Arabidopsis thaliana: one gene and its partner. The protein of the gene in region 1 interacts with the protein of each later gene in a pairwise test. Each region holds a gene or a part of one and is shown on either strand. Other genes may lie near its edges.

Region 1 (5,204 bases):
TCAGGCTTGCTCTAGTTCCACGAGCTTGATTTTTTTGTAGCATCAATGACATCTTAGGCTGTAGATTCCAAACCACAAAAACTAATATGAATAAATCATCATTAATTATAATATGGAAGTGTATGCATTTGTATTAAAATATTTCAATAATCCGCTATTAGCAAAGTGCCGATGGTGAAGATAACTGGTGATTATGTAGAAAATGTATCACATAGTTATTAGGTTGATTAGAAAGATATGCTACATTTCTATACCTTGAAAGTTGAAAGTGAAGACTGCATTGGCCTCCCACTTGAATCCTGGTTTGATTTAGTTATTTAGGAAGATGAGGCAGAGCCAGTAATACAATCATTAGAAGAAAAGTTACTAAGATATATATAGAGGCTATCTTGCTTTTAATGATCTACAATGGTAGTCAAATGATATTAACCATCTTCCATAAAATACTATTGATAAATGTTTCAAAAACTTTGACTGTTTTGTTTAACTTTTCTACCATAAAAGAACTAATGAGTTTTACAGTTTTGACTGTTTTTTTTGGCAAACTTTTAATGAAGAATTATGAAGTTGACAAAAAAAAAGTTTGACTATCTTTTCAATTTCAAGTAAGTTACTTAGTTTTAAGTTATTTCCATGTTCCAAATGTATTATCAATGAACTTGAGAAATAAAGTTTGTCATGACAGAGTGATATACATATAGAAATTTCTGGTCATGATACGTATGGAAACAAGACAAGAAAGGATGGTGTTCACTGTTAATGGACTCCTATGGGGTACACTACAGCTCGCGATGCATCAAGTAGAAAACTGGAGATTAGAGAAGTGGGTAGAAAAAGCAGAGGACGCAAACGGAACCTTAGAGAAGACCCTATCGATATGCGCTGCCAAGAAGATGATGGTTCATGGTACCCCTCGAACCATAGTGACTTTGGTTGGATCTTGCATAGATATAACTCTTCTATGCTGTGCCTAAGACTACTAGTAGATGCACTACTATGGGTAATGGATCGTGCTCTATTAACTTTCATCTTGTTTCTTAAAATATAACCCAAGATCGAACATTGTATTATACATTTGCTGTTTCTGTGATAATTGATTTGATACATTAGACTGATATTACGACAATCTGAAGAGTTCTCACATTTGTACCTTTTTGTGATATAAACATATACAGTGGGAACGCTGAAACTAATGACTCTTGAGAATCTGATCTTTAAACATGTTCATGAGAAGAATCAATGAGTGGTTCGTTCGATTCCTCACCAGTTTCCGGAGATTTTGAGACTTTCTTCTCTGGGTATAACACATAGTGTTGAAACATGAAGAGGATGTCGAAAAATATTGATATCTGTTAAAAACAATTTGAGACGTTTATTAGAGACAGAGAGAGAATTGAACCAAAAAAAAAACTCCATCAATTTTCTTACAAGTGAGAGAAGAGTCTTTCCCATGTTCCCATAGAAATTCTTCCAAGAATCTGGAAGAACCAAAGGAAATAGATAGTTTTAGTTTTCTTTCAAAATGTTATTATCAGAGAAAACAAAAGCTATTGATGTGATAGAGAAGAGATTGTTACTTTGGTCAATAGATTGTATAACCATTTGCAGATAGTTAGCAAGTCCTCCAGTAAAATCGAGAAGAATATTCCCGATGCTCCACCCGACTGTGCTCTTCCTAGTGAAGTTCATCTTTGCCTGTGAAGCAAACACATAAAATCTGAGTAATGCTGATTCAATCAATAATGAAAAAAATTAAGGTTTGGAATCTTTTCTGACCTGTGGGATGTACTTGACGCATGTCATGAAGACCTGAATCGAACTATAACAATGAACAAATAAACCATTATCATCAAAACTGTTAGATTACCACTAAAAGAATTGGTTCAGAAGGCTTTGCGCAACAACTTACTTGAAGATTGAAATGAGCCATAGCCAAGAGTGTGTAGGTAATGCTATGAAGAAACAGATAGCTGCAAATCCCCACACAACAACCACAATACCTATAGCAAGTCTGGATACTTTTTGAGGTCCACGCTGAGAGCAAATCACTAGAAATCATCAGGAAAAAAAGAACACTTGTATGGGATAAAGAGACAAAGGCAAGCCTAAGAAACTTGATTACTCACTTCATAGATAAAGATCTGGAACAGTGTAACAGCTGTCATTACAACTGCATGGATCGAGAATGCAACATCATTTGCAGCCACAGGTATCATCTGAAATAAGCAACAATTATAACAAAACGACTCAAAAAAAATTAAACCAGCTCGAACAATCTAAAGCGTTTTTTTTTTGCTGAAACTTAGAAAGGAACAAACTTTTATCTTCAATTTTGACTTCATTAGCTAATAAGTAAAGGTAAACTTGTAACCATGAAGATAAGAGCCAACAAGAACCATCTTAGAATCCAAACAAAACTCATTTCTAGATTCCACAATCAAATTCATTAAATGCTTAATGCTTCAATGAATAACAGAGAGAAAGAGGAAACAAACCTCTTTATCGCCATAAGTGTCAAAGTACTGCTTTTGAATAACAGGACTAAAGTAGAGGCAGACATTGTAGATCATATACGACGAGTGCTTTGTCAAATTCAACATCACGAAGTCGAAGTTCAATCCAACAACACTTTCCCAAACACAACCAAGATTTCATCAATTTCAATTTCAACTACAGATATAGAAACAAAATCTCAAGAACAAAAGGTAGATTAGATTACCTTCTCCTACGGAAATTCAAAATCAGCTGTGGGTAAAAGCTAATTGACCACGAAGCAAACGCGATCCATCCAACGATTTCGTACGAGATCTCCAGCGGAATCGAATTCCACGACGCCATTTTCCTCGATCTCGATCGTCTGTTCGATTTCTCCAAATTTTGTTCTCGACGTTGACGGAGATTTTTGAAGAGCCTTAAAAAGAGCTAAAAGCAGAAAATATTATTGGGGAGTGAAATAAAACAGTTTCAAAAAATTATGGGTCTCATGATGAAGATGATGACGTGTCATGATCTGGGAGAGTCTAGTGATATAAGATTCCACGATCTTAGCGTGATGGGTGAAGCAGGTGATTTTAATGAGCCTTATCTCTGAATCTGGCGCTCTTTATGGTTACGTTCTTTCTTTAAAGTTTTGAAACCGGCGGCTAAAACGATGCCGTTTTGAGTTAAGTTTCAGCATTTTTGACTCGGATCATTTTTTTCTCGGGACTCGGATCACTTAATTAACAAAACTTTTGGATTTAGAGTAATAAAATTTACTTATTTGGGTAAGAATACTTTAGTTTATTTAATTTACGGATGAAACAATACATATCACATAATGAATTGGTGTAAGTGTAACTCTTGAAAATTATAGAAAAGTTTACAAACTAAATTTAGCCAATTTTTTTAAAAAAGATTGTCTATATAACCCAAATGATATTTGTCAAAAAATTCTTTACAAATATTATATTACAGAGCTGATTACAATGAGATAGAATAAAATTGTAATTATAATCACAATTATCAAAACACCTTCATTGTAGTAGAGGTTAACTATCACTCCGGGTTATTGCGACGTCGTTTAGGCTTGGATCTGACGATCTATGTGATCTAAAACCCTAAGCAAGGAGGTCCCCATTTTCGTCACCGGAGAGGGAGGATTAATGGCGGCGATGTTAATCGGAAGAGCTTTTAAGTCAGCGAGAAACTCTAATCTTGCTATTCGTGCTAGATCCTTATGTACGACATCTGCCGCTCGTCAACCCGATTCCGATACTCAGCCATCGGAATCTTCGTCGTCGTTCACATTCGAGAAGGAAAATGAGAAACCCATCTTAGTGAAAGCTCCGAACTCTCGCCGGAAAAACGAATCGGATTCAGTGACGATGCCGACGTCTTTCATGACTGGTTCGATCGTAGGGAAGAGGTTTTACAAGAAAGTGACGACTAGAGAAGCTGATGATGGAAATGGATGGACTGTGATGCTTGATTATAGAACCCTTAAAACCCCTTCGAAAAGACCTCTCAAGCTTCGTTCTTTGGCACTTGCTAAGGCCATTGCTGCTGAGTGGGAGTATCAGGTTTGTTCCATTTCACTAATTTGATCTGTTTTACTTCTAAAGTTTATTGCTTTAAGCTATTTAGCTATTGTTTTGTAGCTGATCAGTACTGGGTTTGATTTAAGTTAGCTAGAATCCTTGTAATTGGGTCTGCTCATTGCTTATTCAACTTAAAGCTGAGAGCTTACCGTTCTTTAGTGTCCCTAATGTTTGATCGGTTTCTGGACTTTGCAATCTGAGTTCTAATGTGATCAATAGGTTGATAATTCGATTAGTTGAAGTGAGATTTAAAGAACTAGGCTTGCAGTTCTCTAGCTCATTTTCTCTTGTGATCCTTTTGCATCTACTTATGTTTGTGTGGTAGCTGACTCGGTATCAATCAATACGATGATCTTGTGTTAGCTAACAGAAGGGATCAGACCATTCACAATGCCGCTTATGAGACTAGCATGTACTGCACTTGAAAGAGTTCCTCTTACGCGTTCAAAGATCATAGAACATTTATCGAGAAAGATACATCAAGATCTCGTCTTTTTCCGAGCACCTGAAGATAATGATCTAACTAGTGACGTCCATGGTAAAATACACTTTCTCTTCAATTTCAACTACCTCCTAGATTTTACACTTATTGAGTTGTGTCTTTTGCAGATATTCAGGTAGAGAGTATTGATCCTCTACTTGAGTGGATAGAGTCAGAGTTTCGGGTCAAACCGAAAGTGTATTCTAGCATCTTCGGGGGTAAACAAGACGACAAGCTAGTGAAAGCAGTAGAAGAACTGCTCAAGAAAACGAATGATGGTGAACTCGCAAGCATTGATGCACTCCAAGCATCAGCTCACTCTATAGTAATCGCCCTCGGTATCTTCTGTGGGAAACTCCAGATCGATGATGCAATCAAATTGATTAGACTTGAAGAAGATTTACAGGTTTCATTTTGTCACTCACTTGGCCAAAATCTATTGCTTTGACATTCTATAAAAACTAATCTTTGTCGCATGTTTCATGCAGGTGGACAAATGGGGACTAGTCGAAGGCGGGCATGACATTGATGTTGCTGATCTCAAAGTTCAGATCTCATCAGCTACAGTGTTTCTTGCTCTATCCCGTGAAAACTGATCATTAGTCTCTCATTTTCCTCAACACATTAAAAAACAAGCTTATCTG
Region 2 (5,579 bases), on another chromosome or scaffold:
TTTGTCTATACATATTTGAATTGCTTATGTACCATTTAAAATCACTATTCATCTACCAAACTTAGGCTTTTGTCGATATATGACTTGTTTATGTGCCAAATACATGATTTATTTCTATTTTTTAATCTCTTATTGATTTTAGATATATTTTCCTTTATTTATTTATTTTTGTCTTTTTAATAACATTGACTATTTTTTCCCCATATTGAGAGCCCAATTCTGACAAGTGGTTGTCAGTTTGTCACACTATTTGTCGTATGAAACGTATGTTGCGAGATATTTTATTTGAATGGATATGGATTTTTTTTCATTTTAATTTTTTCTTTCCATTTATTATCAATTGACAATTTTTATTTATAAATTAAATATAATACAAACCAGTTGAATATAATCTTAATGGTACTGTGAAAACCATGTCTGCGTAAGATCTCTTGAATAATAAAATTTACATGAATATATATATTTGTAAATTAGTAAGAATATTTATAGACATATTTACCAAAGAACATCATAATGAAAAATAATTATCCTGTTTTATTGTCACGATTTAGATTTAGACAATGCAGTACTAACAAACAAAACAAAGACACTGCAGATATGTCGGCAAAGCCAGTGATTTTGTCTTTTCTTCAAATTTCATGTTAACCATATGCCACATTGCTTCTATGATAAACAACAAACAGCTGCAAGTAATAACAAAAATATATAATTAAATTATTATAAAAAGAAAGAAGCACGAAAACAAATACGACGAACATAAGACTTAAAAGGAAACTTAAAAGTAATTAGAGTGAGCTTAATTTGCATAGATTAATAAGTAATATGTACACATCACGCTACATACATACATTATACATTTTTTTTTGTTTATTTTTTAGGGAAATGGGTAAAGTGCAGAAGCATTCTTCGATCTCCATCATACAGAGACGACACTTCAGGCTTCTTCCTCCACTTTGATTCCGACCAATGACTTTCTTCTTAGTTTATGTACACAGCCAATAATTGTTGATCGAGCTGCCCCAAGGAGAAACATAAGTATCGAGAAATGATAACGTCATTTAGTATGCATTTTCGTTTATATCTCCTTACCTCTCTCATGTGTATTTCCTCAAGTTACGTTTGGCCCGAAACTGACCAAGCTTGTCTCTCCACTCAGCTGCAAATCATATAACCAACAGTGTATTGATCATTAGAGATTAGACCAAGATTTACGAAAAGCTATAAAAGTTTCTGTTACATACATAAATCAGATTGGTCTCAAATGCTGGGCCACCAATCATAGCAGTAAGTTATGTAACCACTAATAAAGTGTACATTGTGGATATAGAGACTAGAGCAAAGCTTACCGGCTTCATCATATCGCTCTTCATCAACGGCTTGCATCATTTTGCTCAAAATATTGAACTCTTTCGTATCAAGACAAGCCTGACCATTTGGTCTGCACAAAGTCAAAAAAGTTTATGGCACTCAAATTCACAGTAAAAAGATGTGATCTGCAAAGATTGATCTTTAAGGTGTCTGAAAATTTACCGGTCTTGTTCAGTAAATAATAAACCATCTGAAGCTGGTGCCGGTGTTGATATCTTCCCTGACTCAATGACTCTCATTCCATCACTATATGCAAGGTACTTGTTCACTTGGATAGGTATCTACAAAACGATCAACACAATTTTCAACCGCCAAACACACATTTGTATTTACCTCAGCTGATTAATTAACATAGCTATGTAATACCTTGCATCTAACAGCTATATTGATTGCATCTGAAGGCCTAAGATCAAAGCTGACACACTCCGAGGCATTACCCACCTGCAATATCGTCCCAAAACCAGCCTTAATACATAGGAAATGATTTAAGTTTCCAAGGCTGAATGTAAGTTGTATATAAGAGACCAGTTGCAGACCTTTGAAAGGAATAACTGGGCAAAATATGCCTCGTGAACTCTTTTGGTGACTCTAACAAGTCTAACCTGTAGAATAGTTCAGAAAATTTTCATGAAACACAATCTTCACGAGACAAGGATATTTAAATAAAAGAGCAGAAACTGAAACCACGAAACATACTTCGTAACCCATCTTGTCCACCATTTCCTTCACCACTTGATACATGGTTGGTCTTGCCTGCAACAAGTAACCATAAAACATCATAAAATCTCTCTTCAATCACTCTTAACTAAATTCCAAACAGAGAGACAAAACAAACGAGAAATAAAAGCATACAATTTGGACATTGGTCATTGCTGCCATAAGTAACACACTAGGCATCTCCACTGCAATAACAAAACACAAATCAACATACTCAAAACCTTGTGAGAGTGGCATAAGAGAAACACTTTGAGATCACCAAAACTAAGCAACTCAAACACAGATTTTCACGTACAGACGATAATCGGAAGGAGAAGACCAGTTCCATCTTCCATTTTCAAGACAATAGCAGGGTGTGGAGCATAATCTGGTAAATGCCCTCCTTGAGGATTGTTATGGACACATCGTAGTTGCCTACCATCCCTCATCTTCACCATAAAACCATCTGCTCCACTTTTTACTTCAACTACAACATTCAAAAACACCCAAAAAGACACCAACTTTGAAAAACTAAAAGAACTAAATCAAACCAAACAAGGAAACTCTACTAATCCCCACTAACTTACCAGCTTCCACTACACTAGAGTTAACATATTCCTCATCATTTTCATTGAAATTTTCAGCAGTGCTTCCATTACCATCAGAGTGAGAGCTGAAAACACACTTGATACTCTTGTTGCACAATCTAAGAGTGATTGTTGTGGTAGTGCCCTGAGACTTGACACCTTTTGTCCGATTACCCCAAAATTGGCTTCTAGGTTTCAGACCAGTGTAGTTGACTAGTGAAGCACATGCACCTACTTGTCTTGGTCGAATTGCAGGACAAACAACTGGTGCTTGAACCGATCTCATCTTCCTTCCTTCAATCAAACAGAGTATTTTAGTGTCAAACATAACGAAATCCAAAATCTCATAAAGTAAACGAAACATGGCAAAATTCTAGATCACTGATCCATACAACGAAACAGTAGTTTCCATATATATTCTCAAAAAGTCAAAACAATCAATGATCATCGAATTATACCATAGATATTCACAAATATTTTGATGATGATGATGATCAATAATTAGAAAGATTGTAAACAGTTTTTGATTCACTTACGATTTCGTGAGTAATAATTGAAACCGGATTAGATCGTGAATGGTATAAACAGTGGCACGTAGATCGATCAAGAAGAAGATCGAAGAGCTCTGAAACAAGCCAGAGAGAGGAAAGGATCAATGGAAGAAGATAGAGATAGAGAGAGATTCTTCACTTGAGAGATCAAAGGAGTGAAAGAATCTCCGTTACTTTATCGACGCAGTTTTTGTTTTAATTGTCGATTTTACCCTTTCACCAAATTTTGTTTCATTTTGCCTAATTTTTTAGTCATGAAAATAAAATTTTGCCAACTTTTTATGTAAACCATAATCTTCCTAATTTTGTTTTTTTTTGTATATAAAAAACAATATTGAAAGCTAATATGATATTGTAGTACTAACCTCAACTTATTTGTATAAAATAATTGAAAAAAATATACTAACGAAAGACATCAACATATATATATATATATATATAAATAGTTCCAAATAATTTACTAAAAGAACACATGATTTTGTTTTCATTTTAGGACACAGTCAATTACTTGTAATGTGAGCAAAGATCAACCAACACAATATTAATAGATAATAATAAAATCTATTAATATAAAATTGCATGGAATAATTCACTTCTTCTTTTGGTCGACAAAATAATTCAAAAGCCTCTTTTAAAATTGATTGGTGGAAAAGTTTTGATTTCGTCGTTTCTTGATTCATTCATTTTCATTTAAAATAAGAAATTAGGAAATTGTGTGAAATTTACGACTTAAAAACAAGAGAGGAAAATGTGTGCAATGGAAGGGTGAAAAAGGGATTTCAATAATATAGCCGGATGACGTGAGAACGAGAAATTGTACCAGCTAGACACGTCATCAACTAACGGCAGACGAAAAATAAATCGCCTAGATGGATGCCACGTGTACTTGCGCATCTGTATCACACAGATGGATTTGGATAAGGTAGTAGTAGAATTTATTAGAAACATGGGCTCTCTTTTCTATCTTACGTATTTTTTCTCCAGCTTCTAGATGCACCTTTTTGGTTATAAATTAACAAAAATAAAATAGTTGATCTTAAATAAAGAGTTGTATTAATGAGCAATTTATTTTATAAGCTTAAATACATAAGTTAATTTAATATGAATTTAAGATTTATTTTTCTATCAGGTGATAATATAAAAGAATAGCAATATATTAAGGTCTTTGAGTATTGGCCAATAAGCGGAAAATACAAGTCATAATCGAGGAAAGTGAAATAATCAAGTTGAAACTATATTGTAGCTAAGAAGTCAATGTCAATAATGGGCCCATTGATATGCAAATACCTTATCGGTCCAAAAATTGATAGGTAAATGGCTTCACAAACGTTCCTTCGTTATCCATTTTCCCAGCCTCAAAAATATCTCCCTCAATATTTGGATTTTTTACTCATTTGTATTTTTCCTCCAATTTGTGACATTGCTGGTAACTTGAAAGAATGAAAGTACTCGGATCTCTAGAAAATGATTGCACAATACATATTAAAAATTCTGTTGAATTCCGGCCCAAAGTTATGGCCCAATAAGTACCCATATTTTCTAACGAGCCTTGCTTCTAGCGAGGTAGCGATTATATTTTAAATTGTTGGGCTTCTACTAAGCTTTGCCGACATCTCTTTGTTTTCTTTAACATTTAATTTTTTTTTTTAATGGTTCTAGATAGATCCAGAGGAAGCTTCAAGCCCTTTTGTTTGAAGAAAAGCTAAATTGAAACTTTAATTATTGGTCATATATTAAAATAGAAAATATATTCAGATGCTCGTATATTGTATATGTGATAAGGTGTTACTGATATTTTGCGACTTTTAAAGATTCTCGATGTCGGCTGCTCGAAGCCTCCTTCACTCACTCTCACGACTTTTGCAGCCTCTCCCGACCAACCCTACCACTCTTTCATTCTTTTTTCCTTTTCTTTTTATTGTCACTTTGCGTATTTTTTTGTTTCAATTTTAACCTTTTTCTGTTTCTTATTAATTCACATAGATCATATTATGTTTTTATTTTGATTGTCATGTTGGACAAATCACACACTTCATATCGTTTATTTTCTCCAATGTCCAAATATAGATTATGTGGTTCATTACTCACTCGAAATGACACTAGTATCTCAGTGAGATGCGCAACTATGACGGAATGATAACTTAGTTATTTTTTTGTTTAACGAGATTTTATTTTTAATCCGAAATCCATAAATTGGACTACATAATATCAAAACACAACCCATGTAAAGTAAAACAAATGTGGTCCTTAAATCATATTTATCGCTATTCACACAGCTAGCAAACCTAGTTAATTAATAGTATAGGCAGGCTTAACTAACGAATTTGATAAATCCATACACTAGACAACAGTCTGAGCGACCATAAAATAGTATATC

The links. The genes of interacting proteins can lie anywhere in the genome.
Region 2: the proteins of AT5G40670 (region 1) and BBD1 interact in a protein complementation assay, tested with the Arabidopsis thaliana proteins (one large-scale study listed by BioGRID).

Annotation. Positions count from the first base shown.
Region 1 is NC_003076.8:16,283,602-16,288,805, reverse strand, and holds AT5G40670 (PQ-loop repeat family protein / transmembrane family protein), read right to left. Parts: upstream 3,096-5,204; 5' UTR 2,839-3,095; coding exon 2,720-2,838; intron 2,629-2,719; coding exon 2,496-2,628; intron 2,217-2,495; coding exon 2,127-2,216; intron 2,035-2,126; coding exon 1,910-2,034; intron 1,820-1,909; coding exon 1,777-1,819; intron 1,696-1,776; coding exon 1,578-1,695; intron 1,479-1,577; coding exon 1,429-1,478; intron 1,350-1,428; coding exon 1,215-1,349; 3' UTR 859-1,214; downstream 1-858. Other genes in the region: AT5G40680 (Galactose oxidase/kelch repeat superfamily protein), read right to left, coding at 1-52; AT5G40660 (ATP12 protein-like protein), read left to right, coding at 3,645-4,061, 4,443-4,617, 4,689-4,966, 5,049-5,156. UniProt on the Arabidopsis thaliana protein: Thought to transport cystine out of lysosomes.
Region 2 is NC_003070.9:28,280,695-28,286,273, forward strand, and holds BBD1 (bifunctional nuclease in basal defense response 1), read right to left. Parts: upstream 3,475-5,579; 5' UTR 3,188-3,474; intron 2,946-3,187; 5' UTR 2,938-2,945; coding exon 2,652-2,937; intron 2,552-2,651; coding exon 2,381-2,551; intron 2,271-2,380; coding exon 2,221-2,270; intron 2,122-2,220; coding exon 2,065-2,121; intron 1,971-2,064; coding exon 1,905-1,970; intron 1,810-1,904; coding exon 1,735-1,809; intron 1,650-1,734; coding exon 1,531-1,649; intron 1,439-1,530; coding exon 1,347-1,438; intron 1,157-1,346; coding exon 1,095-1,156; 3' UTR 1,090-1,094; exon of another isoform or gene 1,015-1,089; 3' UTR 501-1,014; downstream 1-500.